3 linked regions of the Drosophila melanogaster genome follow. The protein of the gene in region 3 interacts with the protein of the main gene of each other region in a pairwise test. Each region holds a gene or a part of one and is shown on either strand. Other genes may lie near its edges. The genes, in order: Sys1, frc and Mpcp1.

Region 1 (9,197 bases), on a different chromosome or scaffold from region 3:
CCCTCGGATGTGGAGGAGTATGTCCACCGTATCGGGCGTACCGGACGTATGGGTAATCTTGGTGTGGCCACCTCCTTTTTCAACGAAAAGAACCGCAACATTTGCTCCGATCTCTTGGAGCTGCTGATCGAAACGAAGCAGGAGATCCCCAGTTTCATGGAGGATATGAGTTCGGATCGCGGACATGGCGGAGCCAAGCGGGCTGGACGAGGCGGTGGTGGACGTTATGGTGGCGGCTTCGGCTCCAGGGATTACCGTCAAAGCTCTGGCGGCGGCGGTGGCGGACGCAGTGGACCGCCACCACGTAGCGGTGGTTCCGGATCAGGAGGCGGCGGCGGCAGTTACCGCAGCAATGGAAACTCGTACGGTAAGTTTGGTGAGTGTGGAATCATCCATCAGCAGTAATCAGTTTAAAGGCAGAAACTTAACAGTGGATTTCCTTTACAGGCGGCAATTCGGGCGGCGGTGGATACTATGGCGGCGGCGCCGGTGGTGGCTCCTATGGCGGCTCCTACGGCGGCGGCAGTGCCTCGCACTCTTCGAACGCACCCGACTGGTGGGCTCAATGAGCAAGGCCTCAGCTTCAGGCAAAGGACCTGGGCCAGCAGCAGCAGCAGCATCAGCAGTCGCATCGTAGCCACTTTCGCAAATAACCAAACGGAGTAAAACAAAGTCGATAACAACTATATATGTGTACACACGTATACTATATAGGAACAGCAAATGTGAAAGAGAAACTGTCTGTGCGCAGCGCAACACAAATCACGAAAATACAGAAAAGATACACAGATGCACCCTCCACCCCACCCTCGTTTAGCAATTCACTCCTCTCTCACAACCTCAAAAACCAGGAGCAAGCGTTAATAATAAACTGTGCAAGTCCATCGCGAAAGTATATTACATTCATGTATAGCCAGCCCAAGCCGCCCTCCATTTCCATCTCACCCATCATTATATTTTATGAATTCGATGCGCGTAGTTGAAGGATATGCAAGCAAACACATACATATTTAAAATATGCTAAACAACCACAAATATTAAGAATATTTAAGCAAATGATAAAATTTTTGAATTTTTGTCCATAAGTTACAATTCTCACACATCATTTTTCTTGGAACTCTTAATATACATATATATATATATATATATATGTATTCTTATATATATATATATATATATCTAGACATAAATATTGTCAATGTCGGATCGAAACGATGAAAGCGCAAATCCTTGAACTTCAATTGATGATTTTAAACGAAGAAAACATAAAAATAGTAATGGTATATATATTATTAAATATATAGATCGAGATAGAATGTACTATATGAAACAAGAAACCAACACAAACAAGTAATTAAAACAAAAAAAAAACAAGTTTGCTAAACTAAAGCTTAATAATTTAGCAAATGAGAAAAAGAACTCGCATGGTTGTTTTTAATTTTTTCTGCATTTGGTGTAACAGGTGATTTTTTTGGGATTGGCAGATCGTGTCCGATAACGCTGTAAAGCACCAACGTTTACTAATTCCTTGGCGCCCTATTATCTTTTCATAAATATGTTCAATTAAGATTTATTTACTTACTGATATCACTTTTTGAGTTAGCTCCATTGATAAGAATTGGCAAGTTGCCTGTTCTTTGGTTTTAGTTCAGTACGCTTTTCGAACCAATACGTTTCGATGTAAGAGATCATTGGATTTTCAACCGCGACGAGCTGCTGGCCATATTATCAAAATAATTAAGGAGTGGAATATCCATAGGATAGGTTAGTAACCTTTAGGAGCTTCTCAGATGAGAGCTTTGTCGCCGGTTTCCCAGCGGCAAAGCTTCAATTATGCACATTTAAGCAATCAGTATAATTGAATGTTCGAAACGTGGGGAGCGAGAATGTAAGTAGGAAATGCATCAAATAGTGCCGAGGATGTGACGATCGTGGCGATGCCTACCCGTTTGCTAATTAGATTAGATAGGGCAAGTTGATTAGTTTGCTCTGATGTTTTCTAAAGAGGGGAGCTTGTCGATTTGTCGTTGTTTGTTTGCCAGATAAATTTGCTTGAACAGCAAAGCTCTACGCTTCTTGATCGCTGGATTTTGAAATAATAAACAGCGTGGGCGCTTGACTAGGCCACACCCCGTTTTATTATTATTTTCGGCAGTCCGGCGGAAATTTTCAGTGCACTCCCAGTTGTATTCGCGGATCTCAGCTGTGTCAATTTCAGACTGTCAACATATAAACACGACGAGGATGCAGAAGCCACATCATGGTCCGTGCTGGATGTTGCTTCTACTGGCATCGCTGATCGGTACTTTTATGCTGGCCTTCAGCTACTGGATGTTTGTGCCGCGCGAGGAGTCACTATGGTCAATGATATCGAACTACAGTGGATCTGGAATAAAGTACTCCCTGCCGCCGTCAGCAGTACCTGAGGAACTTAAGCTTCGGCAGAGACCGCCCTTCGTTTACCAGATATTACATTGAAAGTAGAAGTACAATATAGTGTTTATATGCTATGTAATCTTACGCTAGTTTAACAATAAATTACATGTACACAGAAGCTGCTTTGGGTGGCTTGGTTGGGGGGGTAGCAGGCATCACAAGTTGGTGGCTTCGAGTCAGACGTCCGACTTTTGATTGAGGGCCGCATAGCCCACTGGGATCTCCTTCATCTCGGTCTGCAGGCAGAGAAACTCGCCGCCTATGCACATTATTGTGCCGGTGATGACATTCAGTAGCCACCACGATGCGTTCGCGGGAAAGGAGCGGTTGTACCACCAGCAGATCAGCAAATGCAGCACGTGGAAGGTGCAACTGCCATGAAAGGGAAGCATGAGTTGTAAAAGCAAAAGATTAAGTGTGTGCACTAGCTATAAGCCCACCTAAAGTCCAGACAGAGCTTGGCTCTTCTCACAATGCACCACAGTGCCAGGGAGGCTAAGAACGCATTTAAAACAAATGCGCAGATCACCAGGCGGCCACCCATGTCGTAGATGTGGATCTCCTTTAAGCAACATTAAATCAAAGTAAGGAGAGGGGTTTCCATGATATATGGTATATAGCATATGGCATACATGGTATTCGAACAAGTGATCCAGACTATAGTTGTCCCCGGACAACTTGTTGGCCACGAAGACGAGTAGGCCAAGGGTGAAGTACACGCAGAACTGCATGGACACAATCTGTGAGGACAGCAGCGTGGGATCCCACTGCGTGTTGCGAAAGGTGCCGCCCTTCATGGTTGCCTCGGGTGGCCAAATCAGCGTTTAGAGAACGAAATTTCTAATTTTTAGCTGGCCATAACAAACTGACTCAACCATTAGAGGTGACACTGGAGGACTATCGATTCTCTTCGGCATGGTTGTGAATAGAAGGGGTTCATTTGCTACACAGAAAAAAAAGAAAATTATTGATGCTTGCCGTAGTAACTATATATCGCATGAGTTTTCCTTCAAAATGGCCAGACTTACTCCCAAATTGAATTTTCGTTAAAACTCTAGTACATGCATTTACTTTTTTACATATTATACTTTTAATACTCTATCGGGTACAATCGATATCCGGCGATAGTCGTCATGGATCAGGATCACTTAAAGAATGCTAAAAACGCCACGCGGAGAGTTGTGAGTAAAGTACGGCTTAAACGGGACCGGATTACAGAATGATTCCGCCCACAGGGTCGTTTGCGGTCGCTGGGAATCGTTACAGTCGGAGGAGCTGCCTTGGTGGCGGGCATTACGGCATACAAGAACCAGGACCAGTTGTTCCGGACCTTCGTGATGCCAGCGGTGCGACTTCTTCCGGCGGAAGCCAGCCATCAACTGGCCGTGCTGGCGTGCAAGTACCGCCTGTGCCCGGTTTCACAGTACCATGATGACCAGAACTTGCACACGTCGTTCTTTGGCCGGATGCTTAGCAATCCCATTGGCATTGCAGCGGGATTCGATAAGAACGCGGAGGCGGTGGACGGCCTGCAGGATCTAGGATTCGGATTTATAGAGGTGGGCACAGTTACCCCGGCGGCTCAGGAGGGCAATCCCAAGCCGAGAGTATTCCGGTTGACCGAGGACAAGGCCATCATTAATCGGTACGGATTTAATAGCGACGGGCATCAGGCCGTGCTCCAACGGCTGCGCTTGCTCCGCAAAAAGGAGAACTTCAATGGAGTTGTGGGCGTGAATCTGGGCCGGAACAAGACCACCATGAGCCCGATAGCGGATTATGTACAGGGTGTTCGGGTTTTCGGGCCCGTAGCAGACTACCTGGTCATTAATGTGAGCAGTCCGAACACCAAGGGCCTGCGCGATATGCAGAGCAAGGAGAAGCTAAGAGAGCTCCTGGAACAGGTCAACGACACGAAATCCTCCCTGGATAAGAACAAGAATGTGCCTATACTCTTGAAACTTTCGCCGGATCTATCTTTGGACGACATGAAGGACATCGTGTGGGTAATCAAGCGCAAGAAGAGCCGCGTGGATGGCCTGATCGTTTCAAACACCACGGTGTCGCGGGAAAACATCGAAAAGAACAAGCTGGCCGAGGAAACTGGCGGATTAAGTGGTCCTCCACTCAAGGCCCGCTCCACAGAGATGATCGCCCAGATGTACCAGCTCACCGATGGAAAGATTCCCATCATAGGCGTCGGCGGAGTGGCTTCCGGCTATGATGCATACGAAAAGATCGAAGCTGGAGCTTCCTACGTCCAAATCTACACGGCTTTAGTGTACGAGGGACCCGCTCTTGTGGAAGACATTAAGGCGGAGCTGTCGGCGCTGATCACACGGCTGGGTCACACTAATGTTGCGGACGTGGTGGGCACCAACAGCAAGTTCTACTTGCCCAAATGAATCAAAGATGCCACGATTTGAAGCAAGTGCTGCATTCATTTGTGTAAAACTAAGCTGTTAACAAACATTTCTCATGCTTTTCCTTTGGTCTAACCAATAAATCATTAAATTCTTCATTGATTAACTCTGAGGACTTTCATTCGCCCGCTGGACTGTGAGCACTCGTCCATCGAGGAAATGGGTGTTCTGGTTGCTGGCGCTGTTGAAGGCATCCCGTTGGCTGAAAACCACAAAGCCATAGTGCTTGGACAGGCCCAGTTGCCGGTCAAAGACCACCTCCGCGTTGGCCACGTGCCCGTACTTTGAGAAGTAGGTCCGCAGTTCCTTGCTACCTATCGTCCATGGCAGGTTGCCGACGAACAATTTGTAGCTGCTGCGAACAAATCCGCTGGACATGATTATGTATGTTTTAATTTTCTGGTTTTAAATCACTGGTGATTGTGCATTGATTTTAAGGTGGCGCAGATTGGTTTATGTAGGCGTCGACGTCACTTATTGACGAAATGTAACTTTTCAACTAGTAAAAACTTTAACAAAGCTGGGATTAATTTGTGAAAAATAGAAACTCAAATCTCTTGGTTTTAAAGAAATAATTATTTATAGGTGACATTTTTATATTCGTTTTATTACCCACCTCACTACTTTTGCACCTTGCAGGACTGCTTATCGCAAGCTAGTGCGCATACTATCGATGGCTATCGATTGGCCGCAAATAATCAATGTTTCATCTCTAGCTCTTTTAAGTTTTGGTTGCTATTTATGTAAATGTTTAGCGAAATTGCGGAAAAAGTGCATATCAGTGCGCTCGATTGCTGAAAAAGTAGTTGCGTTGCAAACGGCGAAGAGCCCATCAAAGGCGGCCCAGTAACCAGGCGATCGGAGGGCCAAAGGAGCATCAAGTCGACGTGTTGTATTCGGGGCGCGGCGCCTGCAGAAAACGGACAAAACATCCTTAGGACAGCCACACAAAGGCGCATCGATACTTTCAGCCACCACACACAATGGCCGAACGACCGAAAAATTTGTTTGCAAGTGAGTTACCCCTTTGGTCTCGAACCGCCCACGCAGGTCATACACATGCAGCCGAAGAGGACCACATACTCGCTGGGTGACGCATAGTTTGGAAATCTGGTGCAGCGGCGATAAGCCATCTATGAAGCCTCCTAAATTCTCCCATTTCCCACACATTCCAGCCGGATCCAGTCGCTCCCGCAATCCCCCGGATCAGCTAAGCCTGAATAATCTTAGCATACGCCATCCGCCCTCGTCCACGTCGTCCACTTCTTCGGGATCCACCTCCTCGGGCTCAAGTTCCTCATCACAGCACAACCATGTGACCCGCTGTTTTGGTGCCCAGCAGCCACAGCAAACCCCGCCGGTGGCCAGCAGTCAAGTGCCACCGGTGCCGGCAGCATCGAGCAGCAGCGCTGCCGATCGTCACCGGGAGCGAATTCGCCAGCAGGCCTGTGGCAAGCTACAGTTTGGTGAGGGCGGCGCTAATACACACACATTTACTTCAGACGATCTCGAGGATGAGGGCGAAATTGGACGCGGTGCATTTGGGGCAGTCAACAAGATGACCTTTAAGAAATTGGACAAGGTGATGGCCGTCAAGCGCATTCGATCCACCGTAGACGAGAAGGAACAGAAGCAGCTGCTCATGGATCTCGAGGTGGTCATGAAGTCCAACGAGTGCATTTACATTGTTCAGTTCTATGGGGCGCTTTTCAAGGAGGGTGACTGCTGGATTTGTATGGAGCTGATGGACACCTCTTTGGACAAGTTTTACAAGTACATCTACGAAAAGCAGCAGCGCCACATTCCAGAGTCTATACTGGCTAAGATAACAGTGGCCACGGTCAATGCGCTGAACTATTTGAAGGAGGAGCTAAAGATTATCCATCGGGATGTGAAACCGAGCAACATTCTGTTGCACCGTCGCGGAGACATAAAGCTGTGCGATTTTGGTATTTCGGGTCAGCTGGTCGACTCTATTGCCAAGACCAAGGATGCGGGCTGCAGGCCCTACATGGCGGTAATGATTGTCATTTGATTTCACAACATTTTTACCGCAATTGTATGCATTTGTGCAGCCGGAGCGCATTGATCCAGAACGTGCCAAGGGCTACGATGTACGAAGCGATGTTTGGTCATTGGGCATCACATTAATGGAGGTGGCGACTGGTAATTTCCCCTATCGTAAATGGGACTCTGTTTTCGAGCAGTTGTGCCAGGTAAACATAAAACATTTTAATAGGATAGTTTTTCTTTTAAAATGAGATACAAATATCGTTCGTCTTGTTCCCTTTCGTCATTAGGAATAATCTAATAGAGATAAGCATTGACTAATGACTCATTTTATTTGCTGATTGTCTTATCGTATTGTCTTTCATATAGTAAATTATCATAATATCTGAAGCTAATTTTCTTTGGCTAATGACTTTTTCATAATATTAACATTCAAGGTTGTGCAAGGCGAACCGCCGCGACTTTTGACATCCTATAACGGCATGGAGTTTTCCAAAGAGTTTGTGGACTTTGTCAATACTTGGTAAGCACCAGTAAAGCCTAGAAAACTTAATAATAGTAACTAATAAAGCATTATTATCGTTTTAGCCTAATTAAAAAGGAGAGCGATCGACCCAAGTATAGCCGTCTGCTGGAGATGCCCTTCATACGTCGTGGCGAGACGAGCCACACTGATGTTGCCGTGTATGTGGCTGATATACTGGAGTCGATGGAGAAAGACGGCATTACGCAGTTTACGGCCAATCAGCAGGCGGAGAGTTAATCACCCTAAGCGAAGATGCAAGTCATAAATTAACTAAGATTCAAGAAGAACACAACAGCATGCATAACTAAGCAGAAGGAAAGCAGATAAAAAGTTTTAATTGTTGTCTACTTTGTAGCATTCGTAGAAAACCTAGCGCATATTTTGTTAAACAGAAAAACAAACCTAAGCGAAAAGTGTGTAAGCTGATAGTAAGCAAAATGTGTGTGTATAGTTTAAAGTCCCTAAAGCCTATTATAATTCAATAACTTTTGTATTCGCAGTTTTGTGCGTTAAGTTTTGTGTTGAAAATAAATTTGTGTTTACAACAGGCGAGCGGCGGGTTACAGGCGAATATATGGGCCAATAACTGACCAGCTTCGGACTCCCAGCCAAAAGCCTATTTAGCCTCAATCAAGCGAACATTTTATAATCCGGTTGATTTATCTATCATAAATAATGATAGCAGACTAATTGGAAATGCATTTTGCGTTAATAAGCAACCACATGCGAAACTTAAGCAATATTTGTAAAAAAAAAACAGCTTCGTGAAAACGAGAGTTGCTAGCCATGCAAACAACTAACAGAAACACCAATGCGCGTTAAGCGTAAGTAACAAGTTCAACAAAAACAATTTTACATTATTTATTGAACAGAATTTGTAATCCTATTATATTTTTTTAATTTGCATAATGAAAATGATTGTGAAAAGCTTTAAATAATTGCCAAGCGGCTGAGATGTTTAAATGTAGTAGAAATTATTGCAGATAAATGCAAACTAATCCCATAATATATAAAAAAAATTAACCATAACACCTACACATTCACAACACACACACACGTTTTTATGCGTAGAAATTAGTTGTAAGCGAAGCGAAAATATTTAGCAAAAAGTTACAGCTACAAAAACAAAAGTCATGTGAAAACTACAAATAAAACAAAATAAATGTATTGTGCCTAAGTATAAACCGAAATGATAAACACTCACCAAGAGAACTACAATTTAAATTTAATCAAAACTCATAAGCCATTTATAATCCTTAGCCTAGCTTTTAAACCCTTAAACCCTGCTTATTAGACGTACCGCATATTTATACCATGCCATTCCTGCCCAAAAATATTCACAGCCAAACAATTGCACCGTCTATGTCCCCGTCTCAAAAAAGAAAAAAAAATAGGAAAACGAAGAAAAATGGAAGTAAAACCAATGTTTTTTGATTAACATTTTTATGCAAGCGTCAATGTGAAAGCAAAGTTTATTTTGTATACATATATATACATGCATAATATATATTTGCACGGGTTGCATATTATAGCATAAGAAAAGCAACAAGAGCCTGCAGCATTTCTCTTTTATTTTTTTTTAAGTCTTGTTTGCGAAATAAAATCCTAAAGCATGCAGCATTTAGACCGGATATACACATGAAAATATGAAATTGTATATTTTTATTAAGCCCACAAACATCCCAGAATATGCAGATAGACTTGTCAAGTAGTGTTCGGTGCGCCGCCGAGGGAGAGTAATAATATGAAATAAATATTTCATTATTGAAGCGTAGATCTTGAGCAAAAGTTAATTAACATTC
Region 2 (12,901 bases), on a different chromosome or scaffold from region 3:
AATCTTCTGGTATCATCCACTTCAACTACTACGCGCCCAAGAGCCTGGACTAAGCCAGCGTTCCCTTACGTGTAAATTAATCCAACATTTGTGTTAAATAAGCTTAAAGTGGCGACATAGTAAATCACAGATCCGAAAGTAATCAGTTCGATGGTTTTATTTGTCTCAGTAAACGGGACCATCGTCCAAGTTGTCGTCCTCATCATTGAAGGCTTCTCCATTATCAAAGTACGTTGCACCGTAGTCGTTGTCCTCGTCCATCTCATCATCCAACGCCGCCTCCGGATCTTCCTCCTCCTCCTGTTCGGAATCGGACTCTTGTTTGTTCTCGTCCTGCTCACCGCCACCTGATTTCAGTTCTTTCTGCTCCAGAACCTTCAGTCTGTCCTCGATGTTTGTCTTCTTGGTCAGCAGATTCGGCCTTGCATCTGCTCCACGACGTTTTCGACTGGAGATGTTTAGCTCTTGGGGCATGGCTTTGTAGTTAAAATCGGGTTGTGCTGTGAGCTTCATGCGCTCCATGGCTTTCTGGGGGTGTAAAAGCAGGATTATAAGCAGCTAATTTAAAATAGCCAGTATTATTACTTCTCGCCAGTCCTTGTGATCAAGGTTTTTTGCGTCCCGACTGGCGGAGATCATGTAATAGGGGGAATCTCGCATTCGGTTCAGAAAGTCCTCCTTCCACAGGAGCTGATAGTTCTGTGTGGCTGTTGTCTATCGAAGTAAAACAGGTAAAAAGTTGATCGATGTTTTTTAAACTAATGTAAATGGATTTGTACCCACTTCTAGGGTAGTGGGTCTGTTCAAAACAGGCGGAAATGTAGGTGGCGGCGCCGTCTGCACCGGCATATCCTTTGTGCATCCCAACATGGCCATTTGCTCCGCCGTGAGGGTGCCTGTCTTGCCGCCCCTTCCGCGGCCTGCCATTATAAATGCTTAATTTATTGTATTCTGTTTAGAAACACTTATTTCCGATTGTATTGTTCAGCTTGCACGTTTATTAAACTCTGAAAACGATCAGCTGTTGCCGCAGCTAACGGTGTTGCCACATAGTCAAAGCCAAACAATAACATTATTGAAGAATGTTCGCTTTTTAATACCCTTATTTTTATTTAGGTCGCAGTTCCAACTACTCAGTTTCAGTAATTACACTTTAATTTTACACATAACATATACATATTTTATTTGCAATTTGCACTTCATCACTTAGGCTATGAACATTAATTACATGCTAATATTAGAGCGCATTCGACATATTTCAGGCGTGTTTTATGTTTACAATTCCAATACAATATAGCCGATGGAAAATTAGTACATAATTTTCCAATTTAAAAAATATAATATTTCAGGGAGCAACAAATTGATACTTTTGGTCAAGTTAAGCAAACACCGCTGAAAATTCGAATTAAAGATGATTTGAAGTTGAATTTACACGTGTTACGTGTTTAGGGGCTTTGTTGAGTTAAATCAATCGGTTGGCAATCATCGGTTGGCGACAGACCCACTTTCTGCATCAATTCAGTAAGCTTTTGCGCTTTACGGTCCTCGTTGTGGGCAATTACTGTGCATAGATGCTCTGTGAGCAGCTCCTTCTTTTCGGATGCATTGTGCAGCTCTATCTTGGCCCGCAAGAACTGAGCCTCGATTTTGACGTATTGTTTTCTGTGTAACATAAATATTAATAAGGGAAACACACAAGTATTTGGCTTCGCCACTTACTCTACATTGGCAAAATGTATGCAGGCATTGTCGATCTGCTTCCTCAGCAGAGCTACGTCCACGGCCAGATCACTTTCCAGCTTGGACAGCTCGTGGCGGATCTCCTCGATCTTTCGCGACTCCGCCGCCGTCTTCTGGGTGTGCTGCTCGATGGCCTGGTACAGCATTTGCTTCTTCTGCTTGTTCTGCTCCTCGATCATGCGGCGATGCTGTTCGAAGTCCTTCAGCGAGATGCCCTTGAAAGGTGAGTCTGTGTTGAGGCGCTCCCGCGGCGAGGTGTCCTGGGTACTCGGCAGGATGCTGCCATCATCGGTGGAGCTAGTTGTCTGGCTGTCACCGCCGCTGATCTTCAGAATCGAACTGTCGTCGGTGGACGTTGTTTCAGCATCTGCATACGTGGCGGGAGTTTTCTTATCTCTAGCTGTAGCATTTCCATGGTAGAGTGCCTCTATTAATGAATCGGAGAGTGGGCGGTCCAAATTTAGCGATCCGTTCGCTACGTCATCCTCCGCCGCGGGAGTGGGAGTCGGTGGCTTTTCCGTGGGAGTCGCTGTTCCCGATTTGGTCTTCTTCGCCACATCCGGTTTTTGTATGGGTTGCTGTGGTTGCTGCTGCTGCTGCTTCCGTAACTGATCCGCTTGCCGGAAGATCTTATCGGGCATACGCCGAATGCCGGGTTGAATTCGGAGCGCCGGCTTCGCTGCTCACGCACACATAGGCAAAGGTTTTTATTATAAACAGATAATTGTTTACACGCTTTGGGGTTCATGCTTAGTGATCTAACCTGCTTCCAGACTCGCAGGCCTTTTGCCCACACCGCCCTCCTTCACGCCCGTTATCTTGAGGATCTCGTCGTGGCTAAAACCATTGAATTTCTCAGTCATGGTGTTTAACTTAGGGATAATTAGCCATTAAGACGATCGACCGAAAAAAACAAAACAACACATCAGCAAATGCAAACAGAACGAGTGGAGTTGCCACATCGGGTTAAGTTTTGATGCGATCATTCGCGGAAATTGACTGTTCTCACTGTGCTCAAATTCTAATATAAAAAATAATATAAAGTTTTTTTCTCGATCTTTAAATTATTTCGGCAAACTGCATCAACTTTTATATTTATTGCTATAATCAAATAATAATTTTCTTTGTAAGTGGAAACATCTACAATCAGTTCGACGTTACACGACGTTGCCAGATCACAATTCTACGATCGCGATAGGACTGCTCGATACTAATAGTCGATAAGTTCAAAATTTAAAAATGGGCTTAAAAATAAACAGCCTTATCAAGCTTTATTCAGCACAGTAATGCCCAATTCGGAGCGCAGCTCGTGGATGTTCTGCTCCCAGCGCTTCTCCCAGTAGACGGGCATCAAGGGCTTGGTCCGCTTGCCGTTCTCCAGGGCCCACGGCAAGTAATGCTTCAAGTACGCACGCCGCTGCCTAAGTGGAGGAGAAAATAAACAAACGCGTGAATGGGGAGCTATAATTAGAGAACCCAGTTCACTGAACTCACTTGGGACGTAGGCGAACTGCTCCGAATACCGCACCACCGTAGCACATGGGCAGGCCCGTGTTCAGAGCCTCCACCCACTTGACAGCCACCTCGCCCAGCATATTGGTGGGCATGTCCAGCACCGTGTGGATTAGGTCGTGGCATTCGCGATATCGCGTCATCAAGTAGGCCAACTTCGGGTCCTCCAAAAACCGCACGGCCATGCGACTGTCCGGCGTGACTTGCTGAAAATTGATTACCAAAATAATCGTTGAAGCGATGGACAAAAGCAATTATTATTTTATTTTCCATCTAAATATATCTTTTATATGCAAGTATGTTTATGAGACAATAATTTTTAAGATTTTCAATTGTTACCAACTTCAAATTCGACCATGACATTCACTGTCCAAATTCTCTTAGGAATGTCTTTGAACCAGATTTTCGTCGTTTTATGGTTACTAACGCTTTTTCTTACCGGATTCTTTGAACTACTTACATTATCTTTCAGAAACTTTACGTAAGCGGCTCCAAAGGTATCCGGTGGCAAAGTTTCCAGATACTTGAAGTCAATGGTGCTGGTGTGGATGCGGGGCTTATCAGCCATGATGCGCTGACCCTCCTCGCTGGCTTGCATGGTGTCCAAAATTGTCCATAGAGCATCCTCTCCAGTCGTCTCACCCAAACAGGCGATCATGTCATGACTTCATAATAATAATTAAGAGTTTTAAGAGATTTTTAAATTTCATCAGATGCCCTACCGTCTTGGATTCAAGAGCGCGGCAATGGAGGATCCTGCCCCCAGGAACAGCCGCTGGAAGGGCGATATCTCGATTCGCTCCTTGAGGTACTGACGCTCGAAGGCATCCAGAGGTTCCGCCTCGGGTGCTTCTGTGGCCACCGCTTGGCTATTAGCCTGGGCCAAGCGAAGGCCTCGTCGTAGGGCCAGCGGCTTTTGGAGACGCAAACAGCGTTGCATCATGATGATCTGTGGATTCATAGAGGAGATATGGGGAGGTGCACCCGGTGGTGACCTTATCAGCACGATCGTCGGCATCATCATCATTACATTATTATTATCATCATCATCATCGTCGCACACAAACATGACCCTGACTACCTGTCTTCGGTTAAAGCTGGTCCCTCGAGCCATACGTACGTATGTACGTGCCCACTTTCAATAGCGGCGAATATGAGCAAACAATTTGTCCATAATGTGGGTACGCGGTCGGGGCTGATGCTGACTAACAATTTACCTCACCGCACGGCTAAGTCTGTGCAAACCTGTTTCGGCTTCCTCATTACCTGTCCCCACTCCGAATCCCTCACTTCACCACCGCCCATCATATATTGCGGGCTCCCAAAATAACCCAAACAAAGTGCTGCCGGGGCACTAGCACCTCATTCTGCCGCTTTATGCCCGATTCAATGTCGTCATTGTTGTTTCTTTGGATAAATGAGTAGTCACCATTTAAAAGATAAGTTTAGCAACATATATGTGGGATATTTAAATCTTAATCTTTTGATAAGGAACTAGGCAGTTACCAAGTAAAATCTAATTCTAAGAAAATAGATAGCCATCTTAAAGTATACATACTTATTTCGCTAAAACAAAACAGTTTCAGCTGCGCAAATTTATTTACTTTTAAGACAAAGAAAAAGATTCTTCAGCACTACAATCTAAACAAAAGCCTTTTGAGGCAATTACCAAATGAAACGGAAAATAACACAAAATATCGGAAGGCGTACTATTCTAAAAAATACTATCACCACTCGCAATCACGTTCTTGGCTGATAATATTGTTTTTTTTTTATTCAACATAAAAACCCAAAATTTTGATATAGAGTAATCAGTAATCGAGCAACCTATCCAAAGCTTTTTACATAGTGATGTTGAGTGATGACGCTGCTGGATTGTCCGGCAATGCAGTACTTTGTTTTGTATTAATCTCAAGGCGCCAACGTGTTTGCTCAGAATAGATAAACAACAACCTATTAAGCACAAGTAATTGGCAAATCCCACAACGCAGTTCCACTACATTACTTATTTTACACAAAAAAGTAATTAGAAAAGCACGTGAGAGAGAGCAAGATGTCTGCTTAATTTGCAACGTCCGAGTTGTATGCCTTATCGGAGCAGGCAATCTTATCAATTATGACCCAAAATGGAACAGAAGACGGAACACAATTGTTTATCTGGCCCACCCATTCCGTAGGCGGAGGAGTGGAAGTCTGTGTATTTCTATTTCTTATGACACTTTCGATGCAGGAAACAGTTGCATGCAGACAAATGTACAAAGTGATTAAAATTACATAATTGCTAAATTACATTTTTATAGAAATATAGCTAGATATATGTACAGAGACGATGCGCTGTGTGGTTGTAGGAAAATCAAATACGAACGTTGTCGCGAATCGCAGATCGCAATTGAAGTACACAGTACGGAATACACTTAACATATCGTATGGCTTTGGCTTGAGTTTGAGCTAAGATGAAGCTAGACATTCTCGCCGCGGGTGCTGGGCAAGTGGTCCTGCTTATCGGGAGCCCGCTTCCGCCGAAAAGTGACGTACGTGTAGAGCAGACTAGCCAGCACGCTGATGTTGATCCCAATACAGTTGAGCCACGAGAAGACGTAGTCGCCTCCAATGAACATGCCCAGATATGTTACGCAGATGTTTTTCAGGCATCCCACAATGGTGGTGGTCAGCGCCGAGTTGAATTGCGTGCACAGGATGGTGCTGTACGATAGGATGAAACCCATAACGCAACTGAGCAGGAACTGCACCACAAACACTGAGTCATTCCATTGTTCAAAGTTCAGCGCCTGATCTAGATTCCCTGTAACATAGTTGAGGGCCAGGGCAGGCAGAAACATAAACAGCGAGTTGTAGTACATTAGGCCGTACTTTCCGATCTCCGAGGTGTCGAGTTTTTTCTTCACATATACGCCATTCGAGGCGGTCAAGGCGTTAGTGATCATCACATAGATGTAGCCCCTCATGTTGAAGGACAGATCATCAGAGGCGGCCAGCAGCGCTCCACCGATCATTGCGTATACGCTGACCTGAACCGCATTCGAAGGTCGCAGTCCCAGGATCTTGAGCTCCAGCAGCATGGTCATCAGGATAGAGAAGCGTCGTAGGGCTGCGAACATGGGCAGACTCAAGGTTTTTGTGCCACCCAGTCCAAACATCATGTTTCCCAGAAATATCAGTGGCAGCGGAAAGATCTTGGCGAAGGTATTCCTCTGCAGAGGGGGAAAGTTCACCAATTTCAGGCGCTTGCCCATGCCCAGGACCACAATGCTAGCAGTAAGTTGCCCGAGGCTGAGGAACAGGAACGAGGGGAAGTGGTAGGAGGTAAGCACCGTCTTGTTTACCACCGTAATCATGAAGGAGGACAAGCCATAGAACAAGGCGCTCCCGATCTTCTTGACGAACAACGCCGAGTCCTCGCGTTCCCGGTGACTCAGCTCCTTCGAACCGGATCCATCGAGCAGCGATGACCGATCCGCCGATCCGCCCATCTTCTCCTCCAGCTCCCTGTTTCCGACATCGCTCTCCGCCAGGAGCGGCTGCAAGTCCAGAGTTGTGTTGCCGCCGCGCGACATACTCATCGTATTTGCGGGAGTGCTGGTAGTTGAATTAAATCACTTTCGTCACTATCGTTTGTTCGGCGGCGACTATCTTGCGGCGCGCACATTTGCTCACTTTCTTCGGGGCCACTTTGGGGCCGGGGAGGAAGCGTTCCCACAGCACATTAACGAGTATTTGCTATTTTTACCGACGCGAAATCGCAGCCATTCTCCCCGGAACATATGTTCAGTGTGGCCGCAGCAGAGTTGTCAAAACACGCTCCCCAATGAAATAACCTAAATGTGCCATCACTGTTACTTAACAGTTTCTGTTACTTTTCTAGCGGCATGTCAAAAAAACAAAAATATAGAAAATGCTAAATATATATTGGACTAATGTGTTTAAATGTAACTTACACTAGTAACAGATCCCCATTAATAAAAGCCAAACTCTAAAATTCTGCCACAAGTACTATTTCTCACGTAACACCTTACTAACGGATTTCACATGATATCTACGACAAGAAACTGTTTGCTGATATAAAATTGCTATCACCGCTTTCCGTAAACACTTTTACACTGATGGATTACAAGTTCAATTAATACATCAACTTACCTTAACAATTTTAAGACAACTAACACTCCCACAATTTAATTCAACCTACACCGCTTGATAATCAGCTGTTCTGTACAAAAAACAATAACACTGTTAACAACAGCGCACAGTGGATAATACAGTCCTAAAGGCAATATACACCATTGTACATTTTTAATTATTGATTCTATGTGCCATTCCCTAGTATACGAAATAATTTTTATTAAATACATTTTCGTAATACTGCTCGTTTTTCTTTGCGTTTTGAATTTTAAAATAGAGCCATTCACACTAATCCCACAAAATTGTTGCCTTCGTCCCACTGTCCACAAGGTATAAATAGTAGTGGCAACGCTGCCCGAAAGACCGAAATTACTTGGTTTTTATTTTGACAACAAATTGGATAAAATGAGTGGCTTGAAGGCGAAAAAATCCAGCAAGGGCGACCAAATCCCCAAGCCCATTAGCATTAAGAAGGAGAAGATCGAGGAGGAACGAAAGCTGCATCCCATGTCCCATTACATAGACGACCGCCTGGAATTGGTGAAACAGATATTTGGGACCTTAAAACCGAAAACCATTTTGAACCTAGCCCCAGAGTTTCTAAAGGTGTGTTATAGTTCTTTTTATAAAAAGCTATTTATCAATAATTTCACGCAGAAAACGCCACTAGACGAAATCGAGGAACTTTGTCTGGAGGAGTTACTCTGCTTGTCTACGAAGCGGCTAAAATCCATAATAGAAAACACCAAATGTCCCACAGACACTGAAAGCTCCGAAGATTCCGATGTGGAGCACAAAGAAGGTATGTTGAATCACTTCCTTGCCCTATAAACCCACCATTCATTATAAAGTCTCATTTCAGAACACATCTCGCTAGAGGAGATATCATCCGACAGCGACATCGGAGGTCAGGAATCCCGAAAAAGTGAGTTGGTGGCATAAGATACATTTAATTTAGAGTTTATTATCTGTGTAATCTGCACAACTGCACGCCGTAAAGTTATCCACCGTACTTAAACTTCTCGCAGGCAAAGAGCGGCGACACGTAAAATGCCCGCAGGATGCAAACATCCTCTCCTATGCCGATGACCACGTTATCCTTATCCTCTTTGCCCACCTCCAGGGTAACTACAAAGTCTCCAACCTCCAAGCAGCCCTTCTTCCTCATAAAGTCCACTCCAAACTCAATCGGACTGTAGCTGCACTCGTTGAGATCCTTGGTGTAAAGAACCGGGTGCATGTTACGGCGCAAATGAAGCGCACGAGCGAGCTCCACCTTGCAGGTAATGGTTTCCGCATCATCTGTCTCCTCCAGCGGCACCATCACATATACTGGGCAATAGATCTCAATACGCGAAAGGGCCACGCTGGCGGTCTCGCAAGTGGTGAACAAAAATATGGCTTGACACTCAATCGAGCTAATTGTGCGGATAATAAAATTCACAATGGTCTGGTATGAGGTTAGGATGCTCTTCAGTACCATCTTATTCTGGACCGCGCCAACACGATAATCTTTTATGGGCATCAGCTTTTTGACTATCAGCGGATATTTGTTGCACCATGGACTTTTTTGGATGTGAATAGCGTCGACCTTCCACAGGAAATCGTGCAACTCAAATCGCTTAAAATCACTGCAACGCTCCAGCGGAACAGTGCCAATGACTGGCTTCTTCTGGCACTGCGAAATCGGAAGCACGTCCTCCATAATGTAGTTATATACGCAACAGTTTACGTTGAACATGTCGGGTATCCAAATGTAGTCCACAAGCTTAATGATGCCTAGCAAATCAAGCATGTTACTTCGCACATACTCGAAATCTATCATTCCGATCAACTTAAGGTTGAAGTCCGAGTTCAAGGTCTGCCGCACGGCACGAAGAAAGCTCTTGCATCGTATCTTGGGCAGAACCACATAGTTGGCATTCAAAGACGCGGCCATCTCAAGGTCCTTCATGTACAGATCGGGATATAGGTCCGGATCGAGAGCGTGGCACTGTCTAGGAAGCTCTATAAAGTCGTAGGAGGCTACCAGACCGGCATCTATGATCATCACGGTTAGTGCTTCCCGCAGGGTCTTCACCACCTTACCTCTAACTTCACGTCCGATCATCACAATATCGCCCAACTGAACGGAGGCGAGATAACACCGCAGATTGATTACGTACACTATTTCTTTAAAGCCTTTGTAGCGGTAGGACTCATCCGTGGTGAGTGTGACCACCCCACCTCGTGCCAGCATCACGGTGCAGTTGTTCCTCAGTCTCCCAACGCGACAGCACTCGCCGTTAATCTCCAGAGCCAAGCCAGTTGTCAGACGTAGTTCCCTCTCTGCAGAATGCGCCGATATCGCAATGTTCATGGTGTCCAAAATGGCTTTCAGTTCATCGGGCTTGTTGCCCACCGTATCCACGTGAAAGGTGTAGGTTCCATTTTCCAGCATACGTCGCAGCTCGTCGTGAGTGGTTTCCGTCACCAGCTTGGCCACAAGACCCAAATGATAGTATCTCTTCCGTTTTCGCCGTCTGGCGTGCTTCTCGTGAGCCTCGCATGCCGCTTTGAAATCCTTTAAACGCTGCTCCAGGTCATGTTGTCCATTAAGACGCACCGTAAACTTCTCCAGACGATTCTCGTCTTCCGGCTGCTCCTCCTCCTCCCCCTGATCCTCACCTGTCTGACTGTCTAGTTGCGGCGTTACTTCTTTCTGGTTGATCGGCATCCTGGCGTGCAGTTAATTTATGTATACTTTAGCACAATTTGTAATGCAATCTGTGTCAATCTTGTCTGATTTTCAGCCAAGAAGAAGCTTAGATCCAAGAAAACGAACAATGGGAATGAAAACAAAGAGTGTAAGTACAAACTTTACGAATGTATAAAAACTAATCGAAATCGACCGAAAGTATGATAACAACAGCCATCTGAGACTGTGCGCCCGTTTGACGGCAAATTTGTTCAGGTTACTAAGGTATTCTTTTCTCCCACAGCGGGTGGTCAAATGAGCGTGCTGGAACTGTTGGAACTTCAGGCACGTGCCAGGGCCATCCGCTCCCAACTGGCAATGGAGCCAATCACCAAAATAGAGGTCAAGTCAGATGATGATATTGACGAAGTACCAGTGGAGAAAGTACAGCGAAAGGAAAAGGATAAACGCAGCACTAAAAAAACGGATTCGAGCAAGCGCAAATCGCAGGAATCAGCTAGACCAACATCTCCATCCCAGCCTGATAGCAGCAGCAAGGAGCAGGAAGCGCCCCGCAAAAGAATCAAGATCAAAAGAAACTATAGGCGGACTTCAAAGTCGCCAGAAAAGGAAGTCAAACCTCCAACATCTACTACTTCATCCGAAACTTTGGTTGCATCTAACGATTTAAACAAACTGCCACGTTCCAAATCACGTTCAGCCTCACCAGATGTGATACCTATACAAACGGAACCCGAAACACTGCTGATCAGCGACAGTACGGATGATGAGGCCACCAAAAAGAAGACAACTGAAACAACTACAACTAAGCAAGTCGAATCGGACCCACCAGCCCCAGTCGTTGAGAGCGAGCCAGAGGAGGGAGAAGTGCGCGATGAACCCGAAGAGCCAGCTAAGGTAGTTGACCCAGCCAATCCAGATGAGCCAACAGAGTCAGAAGCAGCAGCTATTTCGAAAGAACTGGAAAGTAATAAGCCAGAAGTATCGGATACGTCTGATAAGCTAGATAAAACAGGGGATAAGGAACCACCGTCGGAAGAAGCTCTCCCAGCTAATCCCCCTGCAGAGCCAAAGAAGCCGAGTGCAGCCGAGCCAACTGCCCTTGACGACGAAGATCAAAACGACGACGTCATTTCAATAGGTGGGGATCTAGAAATGATTGAGGAAATGACGAAGGATGACGATTCACCTTGGGTAAGCATTAAAAGCGAGAAAAAGGAGAAGATGCAGGATCCTGAGGAACTGGACAACGATGTCATATCCCTGGACACAAGCGAGGATGAACGCGACAAACTACAGCAGGCAGACTCCGAGGTATTTTTAAATGCTCCTCAAAACAGTACCTTTTTTTCAACACAATAATCCTTTTGTTTGTAGTCCTGGCGTTCACGCTACATGAAGAGCTCCAAGGTCAGCCAGGTGCTGGCCGAATCGCGTTTGGGAAAACGCGTCCGTGACAAGCTCAAGAAATCGAAGCGCACCAAAGTCACCGCCGGCGAGGAGCAGGCCAAGGTTGAAAAGCCGGATTCATTTACTTCCAAGCATGAAGACGGATCCATAGAGCAATACCAGGAGCTTCTGCAGCACCGACAGCGTAAAACTTCAAACAGTAGCAAGGGGGATAAATAAGTTTAGCCGCTAAGGGCGGGATTTATTGAAAAGTCGCGTACTGACGCACGGCCCTAGTTTATATGGCATATAAAAAGTCAAATAAAAATTTGCTGTCCTCGGGGGCGGAAGGCAACAAAAAATTTGAATATATCGTGCTAAGCGGATATTTAATTTCTTATTCGTCTTTTCGATACTCTATTCGTGTAGAGTAAGTATACGTTGTGTAGAAGTAGTTGCTTTTTATAAATATAATTTTAAGCCATCGTTTTTAGTTTGAGTAACAAGCCGTGTAAGGGTTGAAAAAGCCGTGTAACGCAGTTTTTGGATTTAGTATTTATTTAAATTGAATTCATATATATTACTTAAAAAGATTTATTTATGTATTCGATGCGTCGACATGTTTATTTGTAGTTTTCAGCTATGTTTTGTAGTTTAAAAGAAAATGCGATAACTGTGCTTTTTTGTTTAAGAAGAGTTTGCGTGAGCTGAGCAGCCTGGAATAGGCAGTTAAACGAGCCGCACGAAGGTTACGCTTGTGCATTGATATTACTTGTCATAAACAAGCTAAAAAATCATTGGGTACGCATTTAAATGGAAGGGTTTTGGTTTAACCCAGTTTCGGCTTCCCACCCGTTTTTCTATACATGTAAGGGATTCAGCTCCACCCGCCGCTTTATCATCGACTTTGCTCAATTTCTAATCATGCGGTTGCAGAACATGTCCACACCACTCTACACTTGAGTCTACTCCCACCACTTTTCACTGTTCTCCTTGCTATTCCACTCGACTCGATTTGTTAGCCACCCCAGTTCGGTGTTACTGGTCTGGTCACTGGACTATATCTCAATTATGCTGCTGGGGGGCGGCGGTTGAAGCGTGTTGCACCATAAACGATGATTGTTTTATCAGAGACTCGGGCGTGTTGATAAACTGTTTTAGCAACAACAACAAAAAATGGTCCGGAGAGTTGTTCTCTGAGTGTCATTTTTATATTTGGCTTATCTAATACGCATGTCCTGTGAGCAGAGGGTAGGATTCGTTTACTTATATGGATGTGTGCTTTTACTGCGAATCCATCAAGTGGGCGCGCAGTATACATACATATAAATAAATATGACATGGGTATAGACCAAATGTTTGAAAATTGTTGTATTAAAACTTAAAATAAATGCATATTTAATTTTTTAGATTGTAGAGGTTACA
Region 3 (10,567 bases):
TCTTTTTTGGCCTGCTTCTGGTCCTCTATGGCCGCCTTCATGGTCTCCACGGCACTTTGAGTATGACTCGTGGCTAATTGGGCCGCCTCGCTGTTGGGATACTTGAAGCTGAAGCCTCTGGGGAAGATGGGTTGGGCCAGGAGAGCATTGAGCTGCGCTCTAACTGTCTCCACGCGCAGCCGATTGCGACGTCGCTCAATCACAAATGGATCCTCATCCTGGTCACTGCCACTGCAAAAGTAAGAGTTAGTCATAGACTTCATTTTAATGAGATCTTGTTAAAAAAAACTTACGATTCGTCATTGTAGCCATCAATGATCATGTCCATTTCCTCAGCGTGCTTCTTCATCCAGCCGCGCTCACTCTGCACGCGCTTCAGCTTCAGCTCCTCCTTGTCCAGATCTCGCGCCAGATTCACACGCTCGCGAACAGCTCCCATAAAACGCTCCAAAATGGGGAAAAGCGGCAGATCCTCAGCTAAAAAGTAAACGAATATGTAGAACGTCTGTCTTCCTGTTAGAAGTCTCTCACTCACTTCTCTCCAATGTTTTGTACAGCTTCACATAGCTCTTGACCTCGCCCGGCTCCATAAACATGACTGTTATGCCATGCTTATTCGCTCGTGCAGTGCGTCCCGATCGGTGTACGTAGTTCTCACTAGTGCGCGGCACTTGGTAGTGAATCACATGCTCCACATTCGGTATGTCCAGGCCACGAGCAGCCACGTCAGTGGCTATCAGCAAACCTGTCGGGCTGTCACGGAATCGCTCCAGGTTCTTCAGACGCTGCTTCTGGATCATGTTGGCATGCAGGGGCAGGGGATTGCAGTCCAGCAGGCCGAAGAGCGTGGCCAGTCGTTTTACGCAATCGATGGAATTGCAAAAAACAATGGTGCGTCCTGGATGGCGCTGAATAAAGTAGTAAAGATGATAGTCCTTGTGATCGATGGGACACAGCAGACGGCTCTCGGTCAATGTTTGTGCGGTTTCTGCAAGTGGACTTTATAAATCTGCTGTTTAGTTCATGATTAACTATGAATACTTACGCTGCGAACTGGTTATATCCACAATCTTCGGCTGGGAAATGCCCAACTCCTCAATAAGACTTTCAATTTTCTGATCCACCGTCTGTTTCACAAATTTGGGCCGCTTACCTACATTTCGCTCTGAAAGTGAAAGAGTTTTGGTTACTTAATGGAATCTCAAAAGATCCGAGTAACTTACTCTGCATGTGATCGGGAAGATCGTGGACCAACGTCAGAGTGGCCGAGTAAACAAAATTTTGGCGCTGATGCTTCTTCTGCTCGTCCGAATTGAGAACCTTGAGTAGACTGCGCAGCTCTTCGAAGTGTCCCTTCTCCACCATGCGATCCGTTTCGTCGATGACCAGGAAACTGACATCCTCGATCTTGCCCAAATGTCGATTGCCCTGGGCGTAAAGTTCCCAGAGGCGACCAGGTGTGGCCACCACGATGTCCGGGCACTGGCGAAGTACTCGTTCCTGTTTCGCAACAGCTAGACCTCCGAAGATGGCTGCCACTCGAATGCCTGTATACTTTGCAGCAGCCACCAGGTGATTCTTGACCTGCACGGCCAACTCCCTGGTGGGTGTGAGAACCAGACCGTACAGAGGAGTCTGTACACGCTGGGCCTGCTCCTCCGCATCGCTCTCCTCATCACTGGCACCGGAAACATGATCCAGCTCCTCCGGCGGGGGCGTCAGCTCGTGCTCATCTGCCGCTGGCTCCGGCTGCTGTCCCTTCACCTTGGGCGCCTTGCGTATGCCAGAGCGAATATTCCTTTGCTTCAGCTCCATGATTCCGGCGAGCATGGGTATGCCAAAGGCCAGGGTTTTTCCGCTGCCCGTTTCGGCTGCTCCAAGGATGTCCTTTTTGCCGTGGATTGCAGCCGGCAGCGTCAGTGCCTGGATTTGTGTGGGCGTCTTGAAGCCTTGCTCGCCGAGGGCACGCAAAATGGAAGCGGGAACACCCAGGCCGTTCCAGGCGGACATATCTTCGGCTTCGCCTGTGGAGATGGGCACTAATTCGGGTGCTTCTTCGTCGGTCGACTCCTGTTGGTCTGCCGAATCTTCCGCCTTGACCACTTCTTCTTCATCGTCCGATGGTGGTGGCCTGAGCAATGCGAAACGATCTGCCGCGTGCTCATCACTGGACTCCTCACTGTTGTCGTTTTCCTTGCCCTTCGATTTCTTCTGTTTCCGCAGCTCCTTTCGCTTTTCACGCTTCTCGCGCAGTTTCTGCATTTTTTGCGCATGACGCTCGGCCAGGCGGGCTTTTTTACTGGTCCTAGCAGCGACCGCCACTTCATCCTCGCTTTCGGATTCGCTGGAACTCTCGCTGGATTCCTCCTCGTCGCCCTTCGATACCTTCCTCTTTTTCTTCTTCAGCTTGCGCTCTCTGTCTGGATTCCGGGATGTGGTCCTCTTCTGCGAGGACTTCACCAGCGATGCATCGTAGTCCTTGAGGACCTCCAGGCCAATTAATCCCTCGAAGCCGCCACCATCGTCGGATATCACGTGGCCCTTGATTTTAACCTTCTGCCAGTTTTCCGCCTTCGAAAGTGCAGGCTCCTTGGCTGCGCCTTTTAGCAGCTTTGGTGGCTTCGCTGTTTTCTGTTTATTCTGAACCATAATTATCTATTTTAACTTAATAAAAGTGAAATAAAAATGCAGTTCAAAAAACCGCGTGTTGAATGCTGCTTCTTCTTCCCTCTGTTTGTTGACATTGGACGGGGCTGTTAAGCTCAGCTGTTCGGTATTGAACTAAAAGTGCTAAATTAGTGTTGGAAAATATGGAGGTGTGCACTCGAGCTTGGCGGTTATTTTAAATTGAAATTTTCTTTTACCCCTTGATACAAAGAGCGTTTAATTTTTGTGTGGTTTTTATTTACTGTGTGGTTTATCTATACAAATCAAGTTTAATTCGATTAACATTCTGCTCGCTCTAAATTTAAAAACAGTTAGCTTATATTTGGTTTACTGCTCGCCAGTCACGCCCAGCTTCTTCTTCAGGGACTCGGGCATTTCTGGTGGTGGTGGGCGTGGCATGCGCAGGAACACCTTGACGGCATCGTAGATGAACCACTGGGCGGCGGTCAATGTGCCGATCATCACGATCCTGGGCACCAAACCGCCCCACAATCCTGAATTGGAAAAAAGCGAATGTTTTAGATGAGGAACAGGAAATCCCATCAAATGTCAGCACTTACCAGACCAACCCAGCTGCTTGGCCACGTCCAGGGCGGAGGCACCCTTGGCCTGGTTCAGCTTGGACACCACTGTGTCCGCCGGATGCGAGACGATGGCGCAGAACACGCCGGCAATGTAACCGGCGGCGAAGGTCACCACCAACTGCTCACCCTTGGTGCAATCGGCACGTGGCTTGGGCACCACATACTTGTACAGCAGCTCCAGCGTCCGCTCGAAGCAGGCGAACTTCATCATGGTGTATGGGATCTGGCGCATCCACAATGGCACCAGGCCCTTGTAGAAGGCGGTCACGCCCTCCTGGGCGGTCATCTTGGGCAGAGCCTCGCGCAATGTCTTGGCGAATCCGGGCGTGGTCTGGATCTTGACCTTGGCCGCCTCCATGGGCGCCAGGGCGATATCGGCGAAGAACTCAGCGGATGCCGATGCAGCCAAATAGAGTCCGGTTCTGTAGAGGAATGCGTTCTCCTCGCCGATAGCATCGCCGTACACCTTCTTGAAGACCTCGTACAGGCCGAACTTGCACAGACCCTGCATCGAGTAGCCGATGAAGGTGGGTGCCCATCCCTTGGCCAATCCGCGGACGCCCTCCTCAGCCAAGCTGATGCGGAAGCCGGTGAACACGCTCTTGTACTTGGCCGGGTCCACCTGCAGGCGGCACTTGACCAAATCCAGGGGCACCACCATGGTGTGTGTGGAGCCGCACGAGATGATGCCGCCCAGGCCGCACAGCAGGAAGTAGTGGTTCGAGCCGAATTCGCAGGAGTCTGCAGAGGTATTAACAATACTTATATATCCAACTCATTGGTGATTCCAGGAGGACTTGTCCCACTTACCACCCTCGGCAACGGCAGCGGCAGCGATGTTGTGGTTTCGAGTCAGCTGGCGTGGAGCAACATCCTTGAGGGTGGGGGTCACCACCGCGGTGGATGTGGGGGCGGAAGTGGGCGTGGCTGACTGGCAGTTGACGCTAGTGAATGGCGACTTGAACGTTGAGTTCTGCGCGGCATCGAACAGGGACTTAAACATGATGCCTTAGAGAAGTGCCTTTGAAAACAGAGATCAAGGGTTTCGAATGGGTTTAAGGTTAAGGTCATGATGTAACAAACTAAATTGCAAGTGGTACCGCCTACACTAAATACATTTAATCTATTTTAATTGTTTTTACATCTATAAATTAATATTTCGTACTTTCTTTTGTCAAAAACGTTTGAGCACATAGAAGTTATGTTCTTTAATCCTGAAAGATTATACAATTATTTAAAAACTGTTTTTCTAGTATCATTATAATTTAAAAATTAATTAGCAATAGTAAATGATAAGCATTGGCAATAATATATTCAATCCGAAATCACTTCATCAAAAAACTTTTTTTATAAACTTTCTTTTTTTTATCAAGTTATATTGAAATTGAGAATGTATACTTGCATTATTTTTTACATAACTATTGTTTTTTCTCATTCGCCAAACACTTTTTATGCATTGCGTAATGTTCTCCCCAGAGTACGTATTGTATCACTTTGCGTATATTTCGAAAATGTTCGAAAACAGAACGGTTTTCAAAACACCGAGCAAACTTAAACACTCACTTCAAAGTGCGGGGTATCGAAGGAGGTGAAGTGCAGATAGGGATTAGATATAGTTGAAGTATAGAGTCGTTGTTGGGCTGAAATGTGGGGACCCAAAGCAACGTTCGTCGTGCGCCAGACCAGAAAACCAAATGCAGTGGCTGCAATGGTATAGTGAGAGCTAGCAGCTTCGGTTCAGGGTTGCCAGCCGAGTGCAAAGCCAACCGGTTGATAACGGTTTCGAAACGGTTGCGTATCGGGTAAGAACTTACACAGCAAATGCACAGCTAATCAGTATAAAGACACTTTCTTTTTGAAGATATTGAATATGTTGGCTATCTCAGCCTTATGACATCGGTTAATGACGGTTATGAAATGGTTGGGTATCGGGTAAAAACTTACACCAAAGATCCATAGCTAATTTTGCTCTAAAAGCCACCTGACAACCCCCGAATAGAGATTGTTATTTATAAATTGGCAATTCTTGGCCACCACAGCAAAAAAAGAGCCCATTGAGCAGCGTCTGGTTTGCTTATAAAATGTATAGGTGTAAAAATAATTTCATTAACGTACGACCAGCTGATCGGAGGACGAGCAATTGGCAGCCCAATCGATTCATCCGATCGCTCTGGATCAAGGTTAAGATCTTGTGGGTTTTTTTTGCAAAATTTAAACATTTTATTTGAAACGTACAATGCTATTATAGATGTGTATTACTAAAATCAGTAGTTAGTAACTCTGTAGTCTTAGGGGCTATTACAAAAAACGATATACGACATGGTATCTTACAATCAGACAAGTAAGTACATTTCTGTTGTTGGTGCTTATCAAATAAATGCTAAAAATATCGGAAGTATATAGCTGCACATAATATAGTAATACTTTTTGCAATAAATTACAGTAAAATACAATACAATACAAATACAATACATCGATCAAAAATGGCAGAAACAATGTCATCACTTAATAGTTGGTGTTCGTCTCGTCCACGGAGGCTCTAATAGATACAGATGGGCCAACAATGGAGGCCACCGCGAGCTCACAAAACACATTGCGGGTTTGGAATGCGGGCCCAGCATTCTGGACTGTCGGCAGTTGAACTGCCCATTTTGGAAACTTACATAACTAAATTGGCAAACAAGCGGACATCTTACGCTCTAAAACTTAACAACGCTATTGTGGACTACGATTCGGCAGTTTCCATGTGCCGGTGCACCGTCACTGGTGCCAGGATATAGTGTGGCCGGGTCTTATCCCCCTCGAGGGGCAACGTCGTCTGCCCGTAGACACTACCACCTGCTGGCGTTCCGCGACATGGCGAGGGCGTGGCCTGCACCTGCTTGTAGCGTTCCGTCTTTGAGGTCGGCTGATTGCTCAAGTAGGGATGCGTGTTTGGCTGCGAGGAGGACTGCTGTCGATTCGTGGGACTCGATATGGATGTGGATATGGACATGGTGTCCGACTTGCTGTGCCGCTTGTCGTGCAGCAGCAAAGGTTCCGCCAGCGTGAAGCACTGCTGATCGGAACTGTCCTCGTGCGGCGTCATTGTGCTGTAGCCATGATCCGACTCACCGTTGGGTGGCCGGCGATAGCTACTGCCGCTGGAAACGTGGTAGGGCGAAATATCCGCCGCGTGCATCAGCTGCCGCTGTGCAGATGCGTGGTCATAGCCGCCACCAAGAGGCGGCTCGTCATGCGCTTTGCAATCGTCAAAGTTGAACCTGGACAGCGGCAAGCCGTAATTCTCTTCCTGTACCGAATCCACATAGAAGTGCTCCTGCGTCTGCGCATCCAGATTGTGTCTGTAGCAGTAGATGGCAAAGCCAATCACCATGACAAGCACCACAATGGCTCCTCCTAGCGGACCAAATGCAGAGTAAGCGTGCTGCTCTCTCTGCGGATTGTGGGCGGCCAGCAGTTCCATCTCGTCCAGCTCACCGTAGGGTGTCAGCGAGGCAAGTACTCCGTTGAAGCAGCTCGCCTGGGACGAGCAGAAGGAGGTCGAAAAACTATTGCCGTCCACATCCAGCTGGCACCATTCGCAGCCCATCACTCCGAGGCATTCTCTTTGAGTGGAATACGTTTCGCATATGCCAGCAGAACCAGGACAATTCGGCAGAGTACTCAGCAGCTGTGTGGTCGGTGGAAGTGCAATGAAATGTTCACTTGGCGGTGGACAGTACGGAAATTGTCGCGTGTAGTTGGCAAAGTACATGAGGGACGATGGTGAGCTGCTGTCTCCCACCATTGGACACTCGCAAGGACACTCGCAGTCTGTTTGGTCCATTCGCTTGCAGTTGAGACACTCTCTGTCGATTGTGCTGCACGGGCAAAAGGCGCCGCCATCGCAGCTGGAGTTTAGTACGGCTGCGAATAGATTGCTACCACGGATCAGGGCAATCGCGTACTTGGTTCGCTCGCCGTGCACTACGTTGCCCAGGATGCTGGACAGAGATGTGTTGAAGGCGTAGTAACGCTGCAACGTGCGGTTTTGGTAGCTGGCACAGCCGAGTTTTCGTACCAATTGGCCGTGGTTCAACATATCGTTGGCCAAATACGATTCCTTGTGTGTGAGGTGCTCATGTGGACGTCGCTGGTTTTTCGTGAGTGTGGCGGGCTGCAACATGCTGGGGTGAGCCAACAAATATCCCTCGTGCTCGAACAGCAGACACTTTATATGCGGCAGCTGGCAGATCGGTGTGCCCTCCAGGATCAGGCGATAGTAGAAGGCATAAGGAACGTCCAGGGCTACCACTGCTACGGGTCTGTCCTGCTGGGCAGAGTGCAGCGCATGGGCCTTGCCTTCGAAGATGGTGTGCGCAATGGTGATTATGTATCCAGCTCCTCCGGCATCCAGATACGGAGCTGTGCTAACAATCTTTCCAGGCTGCGCTATTGCCTGTCGGAACCATGGCCTTCGCGTTGGATCATAGCTGCTGCTAAGCAAGCAACCTGGGTACAATTGCAGCACTCCACTCACACTGGCGATGTACCGTCGAATGACATGGCTGCGTAGTGAGCCCCTTGCGTCCTGGTGCCGTCGTCTCAACTGCTGCATCGCCTGGTAAAGGACGCCCACTTCGTGCCGAATACTGGGACGCAGGCCCATATTGGCCAGCAGGCCACTTGAGTCGCGAAGATAGGCCATTATAGACTCCACATGCCGCAGCTGGGTGCGAGGCCTATTGTTGTGAAGGAATCCGAACGGAGACTCGAATGCGGCAGCACTCAGGAACAGAGTTGGAGCATCTGGAAGAATTTTAAATATAATTATGTTTTAACATTTATGATGGGGTATGACTAAAACTCACCCATTGTGGCTACTTGTCTGAAGTAGCGACAGGTTTTTGGCGGTGCACTGCCGCCTTGGTTTAAATCCAGGCGATGGTAGAGTAGGTCCATGCTCTCACCATAGTAGCCGGGCTCGTAGTTGGACACGGTGTCCTTTAGGTTGTAACGTTGCGTGGAGGAAACATTGCGCAGTGTGTCGCCGCCACTGCTTACCAGGCAGAGTACATAAAATCCCAGCACGGATTGCCAGTAGTAGGTACGCTGCAGTCGCTGTCTGCCCACATAGACATCCGTGGTGACATTACCGCTCTCCTCGCGCAGAAGGCGATCCCGTATATGGCTGGAAAAATCTGTGGCGTTTTCCAGATAGGCGATGTTTACGGGATACGAGGTCTCGCGCTGAATGAGCGGTCGTGGAAAAGCCGGATGAGCTAGCGTGTTTCCCGTCGAGCGATCGAGCAGAAAGGCATACCCTAAGCCCTGCTTGGCACTGGATGTAGTACTGGGGTAGTTAAGTAGATCCTCAAGCAGATCCGACAGGTACAAGTTTACTCCTACAACACCGTAGGGAGGAACGGCATGCGTGATGGAGACAAGAACATCTGCAAGAAGGCAAAATATTGATTGGGAAATCAAGATTAATGGTTCTTTAACTTACCTCCGCTGTCTGCGTCCACAACTGGAGGATGAACTTCCAGCGTATCACTCAAATATCGCTCTTGAAAGAGCGGTCCAAATATCCGTGAACTCGTTTGGGGTAACGACGTTTCCGCGTGCATTTTGCTGAGCACATAGAAGCGTCCAACCAACTCAGACGCTTCCTGTCCACTGGGCCACCAACTTGCCACATCAATCTCGTACTTGGTGTAGTTCTGACTGGCGACGTCGTTAAGGAATTGTTTTTCGTACATTATACGCTTCTCGTCGAGCACCACTGCGCATGTGTTAATGATCACTGGAGCCCTGAGTCGTCTTTGACCATCGGCCACTACTCGCAGTACTGCCATTGCATCAGACAAGTTGGTCAGCAGACCACGAGTAATGTAAACGAATTCCACTGGTTGCTCTGCCGTATTTATCATACCCGACTGTTGCAGTCGATGGAGTAGCTCAAAGGAGTACTCAAATCCCAAGGAGTGGTTTGTAAAGGCCTGTGCCCGGCTCAAGCTGTTAATGAAGCTTATAATTTCCTCCTTGTGCGCACGAGTCGCACTGTAGATGCCGTGACCAGCCTCGGCGGGAAAGGCTTCTAGGGACATGAAGTTCGCTTCACTCGCAACCGTCACCAGTGAAACTTTATCCGTATCTTCCAGCAGCTGGAGCATTTCGTGAACTGAAAATAAACACAATTGATTTTGGTTGTCTTTCAATAAGAATCAATAATTTACCAAAGCTTTTTGAGAGGTCGAATAACTCCGCGCTTAGAGCTGATCCCACGTCGATGAGGAAGAGCACAAATTTCTGCTTAATAGCTGACACGTAGAGCTGACGAAAATGGAGGCTAGCAGAGGCTCCATCCGAATTGGATAGGAAATATATGTGTTTAAAGTGATTCCCGCTAATTGGCTTGCTATTCGAGTTTTCCGCATCGCTTCGACTGAGCCTGCGCTTGAGTAGTACTAGTTGATTCGATATGTAGCCATTGACAGCCAAGGAACGGGCATTATTCTCATTCAGGAAGGTAGCGCGTGCATCATCCGACTTGAGATAGTTTAGGATTTGGATCTGCTGTCTGTTGTAGTGAATCGATTGGGTCGATGAGGAGCCGTACTCCAAGTCCGTTTCGTAGTCAGGCTGGCAGCTCTCTATTTGGGTGTTCAAGTAGAGCTGCACATGCTCATCGGTTGGTGAGGCCGTGTTCCTGGCATGTAGATCTTCCAGCTCCATTTCTAGATCCATTTCGCTCTCCGACTCATCATCCTCGTCGTCGTAGCTGTATTGCCAGACCTTGGTCAGGTTGTAGCGAAGCAGTTCGCGCAGTTCCAACACCACGTAAGTGGCTTTCTGGATTTTCTTGCTCAGACGCTCACTAAACAATTGCAAGTCCCGCTGCAACTGGGGATTGACCACGTTGCTATCGTTGCTCGAAGCTTGACGAGTGTTTGACGCTCCTTTGGCGCTGCTGAAGTGCATGGAGTCAAAGATTTCCTGGAAGGGGATTGTGGGCATTAAAATGGAGTTTAATAGCTTGTGCAGTATTGATAGCCCACCTGTATCTTGGCCACCCTCAGCTCCGTATTACGAATATTCCGCAGCTTGCCCTCCATGCTATGTCGCAGCTGCATGGCATTCTGCTGGTTGTGGTGCACGAAAAAGACGCTTCCCGGCGACTGCTGCAGCGGCATGAAGCCAGGATCCGTAGGCACTTGGTTGCTAGTTGAATTGGCCATGGCCAGAGGAACATGTTGGCTGCTAGTTGGGCACGCCAGCACTGCCAGGATGAGCAGCACGGCGTTTAGGTTGCTGTTGGGCCACATGGTTTT

What was found.
Region 1: the proteins of Mpcp1 (region 3) and Sys1 interact in a two-hybrid assay, tested with the Drosophila melanogaster proteins (one large-scale study listed by BioGRID).
Region 2: the proteins of Mpcp1 (region 3) and frc interact in a two-hybrid assay, tested with the Drosophila melanogaster proteins (one large-scale study listed by BioGRID).

The regions. Positions count from the first base shown.
Region 1 is NT_033777.3:8,647,157-8,656,353, reverse strand, and holds Sys1 (Sys1 golgi trafficking protein), read right to left. Parts: upstream 3,344-9,197; 5' UTR 3,234-3,343; coding exon 3,069-3,233; intron 2,999-3,068; coding exon 2,877-2,998; intron 2,809-2,876; coding exon 2,613-2,808; 3' UTR 2,507-2,612; downstream 1-2,506. Other genes in the region: bel (belle), read left to right, coding at 1-376, 448-569; CG42489 (uncharacterized protein), read left to right, coding at 2,245-2,478; Dhod (dihydroorotate dehydrogenase), read left to right, coding at 3,570-3,617, 3,672-4,841; SLIRP2 (SRA stem-loop interacting RNA binding protein 2), read right to left, coding at 4,962-5,237; Mkk4 (MAP kinase kinase 4), read left to right, coding at 5,843-5,873, 6,035-6,876, 6,935-7,075, 7,307-7,392, 7,458-7,632.
Region 2 is NT_037436.4:17,426,143-17,439,043, forward strand, and holds frc (fringe connection), read right to left. Parts: upstream 7,049-12,901; 5' UTR 6,834-7,048; coding exon 5,712-6,833; 3' UTR 4,196-5,711; coding exon of another isoform or gene 3,975-4,195; intron 3,918-3,974; coding exon of another isoform or gene 3,713-3,917; intron 3,459-3,712; coding exon of another isoform or gene 3,235-3,458; intron 3,162-3,234; coding exon of another isoform or gene 3,005-3,161; 3' UTR 2,794-3,004; downstream 1-2,793. Other genes in the region: COX7B (cytochrome c oxidase subunit 7B), read left to right, coding at 1-53; Polr3G (RNA polymerase III subunit G), read right to left, coding at 166-528, 586-714, 784-927; Gorab (Golgin, RAB6 interacting), read right to left, coding at 1,446-1,662, 1,720-2,419, 2,504-2,603; Coq4 (coenzyme Q4), read right to left, coding at 3,005-3,161, 3,235-3,458, 3,713-3,917, 3,975-4,195; CG32176 (uncharacterized protein), read left to right, coding at 7,795-7,995, 8,047-8,191, 8,252-8,314, 10,182-10,235, 10,371-11,401, 11,465-11,716; CG12229 (uncharacterized protein), read right to left, coding at 8,390-10,105. UniProt on the Drosophila melanogaster protein: Involved in the import of UDP-sugars from the cytoplasm into the Golgi lumen.
Region 3 is NT_033778.4:20,276,174-20,286,740, forward strand, and holds Mpcp1 (mitochondrial phosphate carrier protein 1), read right to left. Parts: upstream 4,955-10,567; 5' UTR 4,815-4,954; intron 4,765-4,814; exon of another isoform or gene 4,671-4,764; intron 4,437-4,670; exon of another isoform or gene 4,417-4,436; intron 4,273-4,416; 5' UTR 4,255-4,272; coding exon 4,062-4,254; intron 3,993-4,061; coding exon 3,228-3,992; intron 3,162-3,227; coding exon 2,995-3,161; 3' UTR 2,893-2,994; downstream 1-2,892. Other genes in the region: CG9143 (uncharacterized protein), read right to left, coding at 1-231, 294-477, 536-988, 1,046-1,165, 1,224-2,649; CG16868 (uncharacterized protein), read right to left, coding at 5,977-8,042, 8,105-8,686, 8,743-9,417, 9,473-10,232, 10,295-10,561.